Linked DNA regions of Tribolium castaneum. The protein of the gene in region 3 interacts with the protein of the main gene of each other region in a pairwise test. Links are inferred from orthologs where the notes say so. Each region holds a gene or a part of one and is shown on either strand. Other genes may lie near its edges.

Region 1 (4,419 bases), about 670 kb from region 3:
CAATTAACTGCGGTTCTGCGATAAGAAAAGGTAAATAAAAGTCGGAGTTATAAATATTGATACAACTTTATTTTTATAAAGAAAATGGGAATATTTTAATACAAATTAAGGCTAACTCCTGCAATGAGAGTAGAATTATAATTTATAAAATAATAATAATTAGGTAATATTTGACATACATGAACAATACATTTAGTTCGAAGTTATGTACAAATAAAAGTTGGAGTACATAGTTTCCTGATGTCCGAAGCCTCTAAACATCAACGAAGCTAAACACCCTGTGTATTACCACTGAAACTGATTATCCTAGTCTAGCCTGTGTACTCCACATAGAAAAAATTTCCAATGTACAAACTAACATCACATTAAATACAAAACTGATAACTTCAATATTTCAACGTAATTTATTTATAGTTAAAATTTAGTAGCAAAAACAGTTTATTTTCATTTCGTGAAAGCGGCGAAAACGGCCCACAGTACCTCCGAAGTGTTTGGTTTGACTGATTCTTGCTCAAAGTCCAAGTCAAGTAACTCTCGTACTCGCTTTATTGCCAATTCGTAGTCGTCGTCATTTAGGGGCGCAAAAGCGTTCTCCAGAACGTCACTAGCATGGGCCAGGAAAATCAACGCCAACATCCGCTTGTCCATGCGCTGGGGGTCGTTCACCCACTTCGTAAGTACGGCATCCTGGATCTGAAAAAGCGGTTTTTTACCCCAAGCCCTCCGCCAGAAATTCAGACACACTTTGCTTAAATTCAAAATAACAAAGTATTTCCCGATCTCTAAAGGGCAAACAATAGTTAACTTGCTTTGCTGCCGAACCAGCTGAAATTTTGCATACATACGTAACCTCCGTGCTATTTAGTTTAATAAGTTAGTTAATTCTGTTAGGATTTTTTAAGACGAAACCAAACCCTTTTTTCCCACAGGAACTAACATATTAACAAGCTAAAATTCATACATACGTAATTTTGTGACATTACAATAATATATACATTATTTAATAATTTGTAAATAATTAACAATTGTAATTAATTTATCAATATCCTGGCCTTTAGTTGAAAAATGGGAATGGGACCAAATCAATTCCAAGTAAAAACACAGTACCCAAAAAATTTTTTGATGAGTTTTTTACATATTTAGCATTATTTTTACGCTTAGGTTCATTTAAATACTTATTAGCAATTCTTTTTCTAAATGAATAAACACTAACTGTAATAAAACATTCCTTTTCCCAAGGTAAAACACCGTATCTACAAAATGTCTTAGAGACAGTCAATCGTAGTCCATTTGTTTACGTAAAAATAACTCATATAGGTGTAAAAAAGAATACATTTATACAATAATATAACTTTTAATCGAACTTTTAGTTTATTATTGGCAATCTATTTTGCTTATTTAAAGCACACAGCAGCACGTTTCTTAAAGTGTCCATGGCAACATTAATAACATAATAACCCAAGAAAAGTGAAAATAAATACTAACTTTTTTAACATTTTTTATTAAAATGATAATCAATTCCATGGCAACGAAAGGTAAACTGATCTCACATTACATTATTTTCAATATTTGTAATATCAATATTTATGATTTCAAAGTGTACCAATAAAAAAACTAACGTAAAGTATTCATGTATAACTCTTTTACGAGCACTCCGGCTACGCCGTCGTGCTCGACAAATCCTGCATATTTTAAATACCTCAATATCCACTTATACTTTAATATCACGTTGTTTTAGATAATTTAATACTCACGTCTTAAACTGTCCTAAAAAAACGATATTTTTAAGTTAAACAATATGAGTAAAGAGTTAGTCATTCAAAGAGGCCGGTTAAATAAGTATTTTTTGGTCTACTGAAAGATTAAAAGCAGATACTGCATTTTAGTTCAAGGCAGTCGAATTAGAGACTAGTATTTTCCAAATATTTGTTATGCACAATCGGTGTCGAATATAATTTACACCAGAGAGTGTAAATAAATACAATAAACTATTCAATAAATAGGAAAAAATAAAGAAAAGGTGAAGAATAAGTTTTTTCTCAGAAACATACATTTGTGCTTATATCTTACAATTTTAAAATTTATAAAAGCTTTGGGAAGGAGTATTGCATAATTACCTCAGTTACACTCTTTCAAAGCTTTTACAAATTTTAAAAACTTAAACTATAAGCAAAAATGATATTTTCTATATACGACGATATAGACTACCCAGAAAACTTAACTAAAAAAAGTGAAGATTTTGAAAGTTGTGGACATAAATACACTTAATTATGTAAAAACGTAACGAAAACAAAAAAATAGAAATGAAGACAATGTAATTAGGGAATAATTCGCAAGTGTAAGTCGTATACTCTTCTTAGTACTTTACCTGCCTATCGTTAAAGTTCTACTTGATCTACTATTTAGTAGAACGGGGCACCCTTTACCACCTGCTGTATCAAAACGTACCTTTTTTATTAAACGGCTTTTGGTGACGTTATCGGTCAGAGGGTGCGTGGTCATATCAAACAGCAGAAAGTTTTGCTTCTCCGTTGTGAGAACCCCCTTCTCGACGAGGTTTTTCGCTAGGCGTTCCCGCACGTTCTTCAGCTGGTAGCGCAGTTTGAGGGGGTTCCAAGTTTCGCCTTAAAAGCACGCAATTAAGTGAACCTGGGGGCAGAAAGGGGCATTTGGAGCATACCGCTGAGGTACTCAATCCAGCTTTGAACCGTTTCTGGTGGATCTGTTTCCTTGAGATGTTTTAAAGCTTCATCTAGGAGGACGTCTCCGGTAGGTGTGTCGTTTTTGAGGATAAGTTTGCGGGTGAGGAGCGCCTTTCGGCGCATACCAGCCCGCTCGAGTTCCACACGTCCACGTAAACCTAACTCGATTAGAATACACCCCCGGAGACCGCTCGAAATGCAGTCGTTCCAAAACGATGTGTAACCCTTAAAAACGACACGGTTAGGTGTGGTGAGCACACGGGGGGCGAAGCCCTACTTCTTTGTCTTTTAAGCCTAATAATAATACTTCTTCCATTAAAGTTAATCGGGTTTCTTTGGAATCGCCCTCGTCTATGTCTTCGTCGTGCTCCTGCTTCTTCTCATTGTTCTGCGATTCTTTCACACCTTCACCTGAGTCACGTATTATGTTTCGTCTTTGCACCAGCCCTTCACTCCGATTCATTTTAATTAAATATCAAATAACTTATTTATTTTCTACAAGACTTGACGTTTAACTGACTTCCATCAACATGGCAAATGTCAAAAGCATGTAGGCTGCTGGCAGAAAACCACTCCGTCCGAAAAATCGACAAATTCGCTCACTTTCTAAGAAAATTATTCATTTCTAGTATTTAACAAACTAAACTAACCCTTCAAGCCTTTTTTTTGGATAAAAAATCAAAAATCGGGAAAAAGTGATTACGTCCTACGATTACGTCACGCTCTTATCAATTCCAATTTAATCCCTTTGTACAGAAAATCTAACAATGCCAAGTAATCAGCACCCACAATTTTTATGATTTCCCCACCACGGGATTTTTTCAAGTTTGGAAAAAATTGTTGTCGAATGGGTTGCATAACCCACCGTTTTTAACCTCACTTTTTGCCACCACATTATTTTATTTAAAAATGACCGAAAGTGATAAAGCCGAAGTTTTCAATTTTTTATTGGAGACTGGGTGTTGCAAAAGGTGCGCTTTACGCTACGTTGGCGATAACACAGCCGATTATGATAATCCACAGGTAAAAAAAAGTCGTATTTTCAACAATTAAAGGTTTTTTTTGTAGCAAAACGGACACGACCAGTTGGCGAAAAAGACGAAATTGAATTCGTGCATAATTTGTCTCGATTTGCTCCAAGATGTGACTCTTGAATCCATGGTTCAGTGTGAAGAACTGGAGGGTGTTAAGGAGTACGATTGCAAGACTTTTATTAATTTCATTAGTTTTCCGGTTGCTGTTCTAATAAGGGAACACAGCATGGAGATTCATATGAATGAGAAGTTCCCCAAGTTTTTTGAAGGTTGTTTGGTTTGCTTGTTGAAATAGTTGAAATGCTTACATTTCAGATCGTAACATTGTTCCAATAAACAGGGCATGGTCCTTGTCAATACAAAACAAACTGGGCGAAAAACTTGGCAAAAAGTTCAATAAAGATTCATTGCTCCAAATCCAGTTTAACACGACTTATGAATTTGAAAAAGAGGTAACGAAAGGACTAACCACTGCTTGTTTAAAAATTAATAAGTTGTATTAGGAGTCGTCAATTATGTTTCTGATGGAAAGTAGACTGAAAAAATCAAATGGACAAAACGAGGGTCTTAGTCGTAACGTAATCGGGGAGTTTTTAAAGACAATAAACACCGAACTTTTCAAAAAACATGCCGCTGTCCCTCCGGAACCGCCCGGGAAAGCTTTAAGTTTCGACCAAGTGGCT
Region 2 (4,643 bases), on a different chromosome or scaffold from region 3:
TAAATATTTGTAATTAAATTTAAATACTTTTATGGGTTACGGAGAATTTATCCTAAGCTGAGGCAGGTAGACAGATGATCCGAATTGTCGGGACCGAGGACTTTTCCTGCATTATCTATTTCTATTTCTGAGAAAAAATATTTTTTTAATAATAATAATAATAATAATATTTATTTTATTTCTAACAGGTGAAACACCCAATTACAGAAAATAAACTTAAACTTAATGATCGTGCTGCAAGCAAAACTAATAATTTAAATAAACTAAAACAAACTAATAATAATACTATAATAATAAATTAAGAAACAAGAACTAAAATTAAATTTTACCTAGCCACTAAAGTAACTAATTATATGATTTTTAATGTAATTAAATGAATGAAAATGAATATCATAACTACTGCTAATTTTGTTAAAATTACTACACATTACATATAAAGGTGATTTTAATAGAACATTCGTATTACAACTGCAACTGTAAAAAGTCATGGGATGTCGTGAGTTAATTCTAGGAACCAGAAAAATTATCTTATTAACAAGAGCAATACAGACAATCTTGTTGTTTAGTAATTTATGTAAAAATGCAATACTTGAGATAATTCTCCTAACTTCTAGAGAATTGATATTAAATGTCCTTAAAAGCACTAGTTGGTCACATCTCCTATCGGGGTAATTTTTAAAAGAAATATACCATAGCAGTATTCAAAAATTTTCTTTGGACTGATTCAATACTATTTATGTGTGTGGCATATATAGGTGACCAAATAATTGCACAATATTCTAACTTGGAGCGTACAAGGGCAAAAAATAAGACTTTTAAGGCTCTTAAATTAGTAATAGTAGTTTTATACGCGCTATTAATAATATTTGTAATATGATTCACAAATAAAAGTTTGTTATCAAAGGTAACTCCTAGATCTTTAAATGTGTCTGTTCTTTGTAAAATGTGACCACTAACATTATAACTATACATGATCGGAATTTTCCTATTTGTGTAAGACATAACAAAGCATTTAGGTATATTTAGGTTTAGCCTATTAGCTTCGCACCACTGGAGGAGATTGTTGATGTTATTCTGCAAGACTTGACAATCATTACCGGTTTTTATGATATTATAAAGCTTAAGGTCATCAGCAAATAGAAGACTGTTACAAGTTACTGCTACAGTAATATCGTTTATAAATAATAGAAAAAGTAAAGGACATACAAACTATGAAAAACAAATTTCAGTTCGTCTTAAACTCTCGAGTTGTGAACACAAGCGAATTATGGAAAGTGTTAAACTGCCCGCCATTTTAACAAACGATGTTTTCGAAGTTATATCCTCTTCAGAAAATAAAATTACAGCAAAATGTTTATTATGTGTTGGTGCTAATAAAACTTATAGTGAATTACCGAAAGCCACATCGAACTTTTTGACTCAGTATTTAATTATCCTACTTATTTATTTTTTTCTTATAAGGAATGAACTGAGTTTTTCATACCTAACAATATTTGTTAAATTTCGATTTAAAATCGCAGTGACTAAGAACTTATTCATAATTTATCTGCAAAGCAATTAATCAGAGTTTTTTTTACAGAGAAAGCATCCAGAACGAATGTCTACCATTGATGAAGTTACAAGAAAATGTTCAATTAAATTAGATAGTATTAAGAACATGTAAATAATTTTGTATTGGTATTGATGTATGATTGTACAAGTGCAGATTACGGGAAAAATGTTGAAAAAATTCCTAAAGTCATATTTTAAAAAATCTGGAGCTACAAACTTATTTTGCTAACTTCTTCAGTTTTTATTATTTTTTAATGTTTTTATGTTTCACACTAAGTAATCGTTTCCTAACACAACGATGAATAACTATTTTTAAATTTCACATCAGACTTTAGCAGTTTTTTTAATTAAAAAAAATAAAATTCATTAAAAAAATCACAGTTTGTAGATGTGCCAACGCTGGGAATTATTTCCTAGGAAACCGTTTCAAAAATAATTTATTTTTATTGTTGATCAAATTCTATTGCGATCACAACTGTTAGACAACGTTGCCACATATCATTTATTTAAAATTCGTTATTTATCAATAACTTTAATGCAAATGTAAAAAAAAAATTTTTTTACTATCTTTACCTTTATATGTAAGCAATTCTTTACCACACTCCATTGAGTTGGTGCGCCAGTTTTTGAACACCCGGTATATCGTGACTGTATGCTCTACTGACTATTTTCCCGAAAGAAAATGTAAATAAACACTTTTTTTAATGTTAGTGTTTATACTTGACTATCCTTAAATTCAAAATCCCCACTAAGTATTTAAACACTTTTAAATACATTACTAATGTAGTTGTATTTGGAATTAAATACATTTTCAAAAATTGTATTTGAATTACATTTAATTACTTTGCCAAAAAAGTATTTGTATTTGTATTTAAATACTTCTGAAAATAATTTATACCAATGCTTGTCTGTCCTCGACCCGATCTCCCCCAACTGCGTCTTCAGCTCGTACCGCTCATTGTTCGTAAGATAGTGCTTACAAGCCATAAAAACCCCATTCCTTATCTGCTGCTCGGCCCGGAACTTCTCATTCCCTCCCTCGGTTTTCAAGGCGCTGTATTCGTGCTTGGGGGCCCCGGACGACCTGAAATCCGGTTAAAAATAAGTCCCGAGTGGGAGCATCTCAATTTTTAATTCAAACTATCGATAATCTATACCGGCGGGAGAAAAACACTCTCGCGAACGATTCCGTTCTTTGGGGAGTTACTTTTCCATCGTCGCTGCGATTTTCCGAACTCTGGCAGCGGTTTCGGAAAGCCGCACGTTTGTTGGCGGCGTTTAAGGCCCCCGTGGAAAACTCCGAAGCGCTGTGAGAGCGATGCGGCACGCGCTTCTTGCGGCGCGAACCCGAACGGGAAGTTCGCTCCTGGTAGAACCTTTCGTGACCGATCACTTGAGGCTCTTTCTCCTCCTCTTTCTTATTTATGCTCTGGTAAAGGTTGAACATGCTGGCGGGAGCCAAGAGGCCTTGCGACTGAAGCCCGGCGATTTTCTAAGGCTTTAATGCTGTTAGGGGCTGAGAGGATTCGCGGTAATGCGGCTAAATGGATTCAAAACAAACTGAATTCCTTCCATCTAGTTAACTTTGAATTTGGTGTACATGCAAAAAAGGTGCCGCTCTGCTCACATGAATCCTCTGTCAATAAACGTCAAAAGTGACAGTTGGAAATTCACAAATTGTCAATTAATTAATTTTAAAAATTTCGTTAAAATGCAACTGAATTTTATTTATACTTTTATTGTCGAAGCTTATTTGATGGAGAAAGGTAATATTTGGTGTCATTAATTATGTAAAGCGGCATTTAGACGACCAGATGACAATCATTTAAAAACACATTGTAGTTTGTTTAATTTAGTTATTTAATTAGCGACTGAAAAATGATTATCCTTTGTTCTTTTGTTGTCAAGGATTATGTATGACAACACATTATGGCACTCCATAAAAAAGCATTTATCACTTAACTATTCTCCCGTCATAATTTTACAGCGGAAAAATAAAATCGAATTTTCCCAACTTCTCGCGTTATTTAACGAGGCCGTAACTCCCCAAACAAGTTAAGAACTTCATTGAGCCCAAAATCAATTCTAATCTAATAACTCACCTGCATTTCCTAATCCAAAACACCGCTAGCGCCAAAGCTCCTAAACCTAGCACGACTAACGAGGCCGAAACCTTGTGAAAATTCCATTAACCAAAAGTTAAAAAATTTCGTTTGCAAAACTTACCCACGGATGGGTGTTGGAGGTATGCTGCGGCTTCCTGGACACCACTTTCATCTTTCATGTTTTAAGAGAATAGAGGTTTGTGGTTGGGAGAAAAAGCTACATGTCGCCAGCAACAGGATTCTGATAAAAGCTTGTGTTAACGACGAAAATGAATTACACAAAAGCTCACTTGGCGAATCTAACACCGGAACTGAAATAAACGCCTGAAAGCACGCAAATTGCAAACACGCATGGTATCACTATTGCCGTGAATTGGAATCAGTCGATAAACAAGAGGTGGACGCGTGCGTATTGCTGAGGGTTGTGGGATCAGACGCGCGGGAATTCGGGACAGGGAAACTACAGACGGGTGAAAACTGGGTCACAGTCGCGAATGACGTCACGGGATCGGGAAAGTGGAAGTTTAAAGGGGTTGCCTTGTTGCGGCAAATGGAGTGACGCAGTTAGCGGGCATTGTTTTGTTTAATTGCGACGGGTTTATGACACGCAAAGACGGCTTTCAGGCGCAATTTTGCTTTAATGGAGACATTTAGAAGTCTATTTCAGTTTTCATCAGTTTATTATCACCCTGTTTTAACAATAAGATAAAAGGTTTTTACCAGTTTCAAGTGGTTTTATTTCTCCCGGCGCATCCACCATTTTTCAATTTAATAGATTTCGTAAATTCATAATGCAAGATTGAAAAAAAATATTTTTTAATAGACAATGGTAATGAATCAGAATCTGAAAATAAAATTAAACAATTCTGAGTATAGTCTGTACACAATAAATTTCCAAACTAAACAAAAAATCATGATATACATAAGCTATGTTATGGTAACTTTTGTTGTGAATTTTTTGCATCTTTTTTAAAGTTATCAAGAAAA
Region 3 (4,334 bases):
GCAAAAATGAGAAAATGCCAAAATACACTGAACCACACAACTTCCGGTAAATTTGAATCAATGATGATTTTTTGAATTAAAAACTTAATTGTGGCTGACATTGTTTTGGTTGTGTGAAAATGTAATTAAATTTTAACGATTTACACATCTCCTAAAAACATTGTTAAATATCAAGTTTCATCAGGTGAAACTTTGCTTAAAACTGTCAATGAAATTTCACAACCAAGTTCCACGAATACGTTAACTTACATGAAACTTCATTTTTAACGAATAATTTTAAAACGGACGCCACACTTCAATTATCACCAGTCTCTTGAGGCTCATCCGCTTCGCCCTGTAACACACAACCCCAACAGGACATTAGAAATTTTCAATTCTTCTAACGATTGATCAACGTACCTGCGTGTCACTTGTCCAGAGTGTGAGGTTGTCTCGGAGGAGCTGCATTATGAGAGTGCTGTCCTTGTAAGAGTCTTCATTTAAGGTATCGAGTTCTGCTATTGCGTCATCGAAGGCCTAAATCGACATTTTGAGTGTCAATACTTTTATAGAAGTACGATTGTAACACACTACTCGGTTATTTAGTTAAGTTAGTATTGCAGGCTGAATTACATGTGGTAAGTGTTAATTCAACCGGTTAATCAGAATGTAAAAAACACACTAATAGTAACACATTTATAACCTGTTTTGCGAGATGACAGGCTCGTGCTGGAGAATTAATAATTTCATAATAAAACACCGAGAAATTTAAGGCAAGTCCCAGCCTAATCGGGTGTGTCGATTGCATTTTCGATTTAGCAATATCGAATGCTTCTTGATACGCCTTTTGTGAATCCTCCACCACTTCTATCAATAAAAATCGAACAATTATTAAACTGTCAGTCGAACAAACTTCAAAGTAAAAACAACAAATATTCAAAAAAAAACAGATCCACCACATGTAATTCCGCCCTTTGCGCTATAGACACTAAGGAAACAAAATTTATATTAACCTGTTTAGCTAACTGACAAGCCTTGTCTGGTGAATTTAATATCTCATAATAGAAAACGGAGAAGTTTAGGGCAAGACCTAATCTGATGGGATGTGTGGGCGTCATTTTTGCCTTTGAGATTTCAAAAGCGTCTTGGTATGCCTTTTGTGAATAATCGACGACGGCTGAAAGCGGGCTATAGTAAATAACAAATCCACATAACAGCCAATAGGGAACTTGGAAAAAAACCGTCGCGATAAATCAATTCCGTTATGTAACAACAATAAAGTGTCAATCACCGTAACTTACCCCACACAAACATAAAATTCGTTGGAAATTAAAACAAGTTCCCCATTGTTGTTTACCCTTGTCTTAAATTCCAACAAGCCAAACACACTCACCGTTTCTTGTGTCTCCTGTGGCTACTTCGGCCAAATACCGGTAGTAATCTCCCTTCATTTTCAAGTAAAAAACTTTTGATTCAGCGTTGCTCGCTTTAGGGATCAAGTATTTGTCAAGAAGACCCTATAATTAAAAACATCCATGTCCTCTCAAATATTTCAAACGCGCCAAGTTCTTTGAAATAAATGCGAAATCAGTTTGATAAAATGTCTTCAAGTATGATTCAGAAGAACGAAAGTTAAATATTTTGACATCATTTGAGTCGGAATGTAGTGGTGAATTTCAAGGGTACTTACGAGGACGTCGTCACAGATCTCCCTTAGTTCCTTTTCGACCTTTTCTCGGTATTCTTTGGCCATCTGCTGTTTGCGTTCTGAGCCCTCAGTCTTTTGTTCAATTGAAGAAATAACTCTCCACGATGACCTCCTGGCACCAACGACATTCTTGTACGCGACAGAAAGGAGGTTTCGTTCTTCATTGCTCAATTCTACTCCGGTTTCTGTGACTGATTTCATAGCCGAAGCCATGTCATCGTACCTTTCGGCCTGTTCTGCGAGTTTTGCCCTCTGCACTAGCTCATCTTTGTCAGGGACAGACATTTTGCTCTAATTCTAAATCTAAACGAGAAAAACTCATGTTATTACATCACAACCGGCAAAAGACACCACCGCACAAACTTAATTTCCCACCTTTTAGCAAAAATCCAATTGTCTAAATTTAGAACGCGGTTTAAGTCAAACGACTTCGCTACTTCCACCCCCTGTGTGTGTCGATAAAATGGTGTAAGAATCTAGCCGGCTCAGATCGACAATATGGCGTCTGCCACACCTTTCCGTGTAATGCGTAGTTAACGGTGGGTTTTTCCCCAAAAACCGAACCGAAAACCCCCCAAAACCGACCATTCAATACCAAAAGCCCGAAATATTCCAATGCCAAAAAACCTAATTGAGTATCGCAAGTGTCACTGCTCTATATTACCACCAGCCGACTGACGTGATACATCCCAAAGGAATTTCGAAAATTTCATACGCCCCGAAACAGTCGCGAAAAGGGGCGACGCAGCCCCCGAGGGGGCTGCGTCGCCTTTCGGCGGAAAAATCGAGTCTGGCGCTGAAGGTCATTGCATGGCGATTTCATTGCACCAAAATGAAGCACGTTGCGGCGCTAATCGGCGGGAATTGGCGCAAAAGGCACGAAAACAGCACTTGTCGTCAATTTCAGGCACAACTTACATTCAAATTCAACAATTTCAGTTAATTTCTCTTTCAGCTTTGGCCGAAGAGTGCACTAGCATACGAGACAAGGACTAGAACACGACTACTGGATCGATGCGGGCTCGCGAACAAACGATAGCGCACAGATTTAATGGCGGCGTTTCAGCGACTCCTCTGACCGGAATTTTCGGCGATTTACGCGCGTTTACAACGATTTCTGGACCAAAACTCTGCACTTTACGCCCCTAGACAATTAAACCTAGTTTTACTCACGTGCTACAAGGGTTGAATACGATTTTTTGATAGAAAAATGGAACGATCCTACCACTAGCGTCCACAACTTAGAAACGAGACGGAGAAACGAGAAGGAACGCTTTTCGCTTCGGTAGAAAAGGATAGCGAGTGGCGCACCAACCGCGAACGATGAAAACCCCTAGATTTGGACAAATTTAAAATTATTATCTTCTACGAGATCACCGGTTTTGTAATACAGTCATGATTCATGGACAATTTTTAATTCTAATTAAGGCGTGTTGGGTACATAACGTACTCGGCCTTCATTCATGGTTCTATTTTCACGTTTCAGGGAAAAACGAGCGTTTTTTGGTCATTACGTTAATTAAACTGTCGATCAGATATGGTCGTTAATTTCATTTCAAACAAATTACGTTTTATTGGTGTGAATTTTAACACACATACACAAAGGTGAAGTGTTTAACGGTAACAAAATAAATAGAGCCAGTGGCGGGGCACACTATCATCTCCTTATCTAATTCATTATTTTCCCTGAATAGAAAAAAATTGTTATTGCGATAAATGTTTTCACAACACCCGTTTGCGCACTTGTAAACTGATCTCTGCGTTGTTTTGTCTAAGTATCAACCAACGAAAAATACCTGGAGTATTTGATACGCCCCTGATTAGATTGTAATTTGCATTTTGCACGTAAAACTATTCAACATTTGTATTAAAATTAACTATAATAAAGTCCGTGTTTGTTCAACTTGTGTAGCATCACACTGTAATGGAAATTTATCTGTGACGACACCAATTTTGTAAAATTTTTATTAATATCGGTGCTTTTTTAAATATTTGAAAATAGCTTTATTAAACACTGACTCATAACTTACACCGCTGGTTACTCATACCTGCAATCACATTTTATTTTAAATACTAACAGAAAAATCGGAAACGATTTAATGTCTATCTGTAATGCTCGAAAATATGAGATTATTTAGTACAATCACGTCTATTTTTAAATCGGGTTTTACGTTTACATGCATACAGGCTGTCCGTTTTGTGAGCTCCACCACAAGGATCTTACTGATCTCACTTACTTATTATAAAAGATAGGAGGTCGGTTACGTTTGAAAAATTATCAGAATTAAAATTTGATGTCATTTTTATCTTTTGAATTATTGGAAAATCGTAAATGTAATTTTCGTTTTTATTTTTACAAGAAATCTAATTCTATCATTGTATTTTTCAGCCGTTCTTGATGACAGAGTTAGAACACTCAACTTTGTTTTTTTATGGAAACCAGATTTGTTTTTTGTATTTTTTAAAAGTTTTTTATTCCTGATTACAATGATGTATCACATGATATCATTAAATCTTACATGCTGATCAAAATGGAGAAAAAAATATTTTTGTTAAAGTGCTTTGGAAAAAACGCCAACAATTTTGTTTTGGGACAAAATAGATTTTGGAAGTTTAATTGAATATGGATCTGAAACGTTTCTATTTC

Evidence for each region. The genes of interacting proteins can lie anywhere in the genome.
Region 1: the proteins of 14-3-3zeta (region 3) and sau interact in binary tests that used the Drosophila melanogaster proteins (3 or more experiments, as listed by UniProt). The link is inferred for Tribolium castaneum from reciprocal best matches to the Drosophila melanogaster genes 14-3-3zeta and sau.
Region 2: the proteins of 14-3-3zeta (region 3) and Slob interact in binary tests that used the Drosophila melanogaster proteins (3 or more experiments, as listed by UniProt). The link is inferred for Tribolium castaneum from reciprocal best matches to the Drosophila melanogaster genes 14-3-3zeta and Slob.

The regions. Positions count from the first base shown.
Region 1 is NC_087403.1:8,423,306-8,427,724, forward strand, and holds sau (Golgi phosphoprotein 3 homolog sauron), read right to left. Parts: upstream 3,166-4,419; coding exon 2,980-3,165; intron 2,928-2,979; coding exon 2,681-2,927; intron 2,625-2,680; coding exon 2,449-2,624; intron 694-2,448; coding exon 445-693; 3' UTR 48-444; downstream 1-47. Other genes in the region: tRNA pseudouridine synthase Pus10, read left to right, coding at 3,612-3,725, 3,771-4,005, 4,052-4,188, 4,240-4,419. UniProt on the Drosophila melanogaster protein: Phosphatidylinositol-4-phosphate-binding protein that links Golgi membranes to the cytoskeleton and may participate in the tensile force required for vesicle budding from the Golgi.
Region 2 is NC_087399.1:3,728,295-3,732,937, forward strand, and holds the start of Slob (slowpoke-binding protein), read right to left. Parts: upstream 3,166-4,643; 5' UTR 2,999-3,165; coding exon 2,709-2,998; intron 2,636-2,708; coding exon 2,450-2,635; intron 1-2,449. UniProt on the Drosophila melanogaster protein: Regulator of calcium-activated channel Slo. Increases or decreases the voltage sensitivity of Slo, depending on the absence or presence of 14-3-3-zeta in the complex, respectively.
Region 3 is NC_087403.1:7,751,891-7,756,224, forward strand, and holds the start of 14-3-3zeta (14-3-3 protein zeta), read right to left. Parts: upstream 3,020-4,334; 5' UTR 2,861-3,019; intron 2,765-2,860; exon of another isoform or gene 2,606-2,764; intron 2,373-2,605; exon of another isoform or gene 2,063-2,372; intron 1,991-2,062; 5' UTR 1,973-1,990; coding exon 1,670-1,972; intron 1,497-1,669; coding exon 1,373-1,496; intron 1,157-1,372; coding exon of another isoform or gene 993-1,156; intron 847-992; coding exon 683-846; intron 517-682; coding exon 400-516; intron 335-399; coding exon 296-334; 3' UTR 1-295. UniProt on the Drosophila melanogaster protein: Required in Raf-dependent cell proliferation and photoreceptor differentiation during eye development. Acts upstream of Raf and downstream of Ras, and is essential for viability.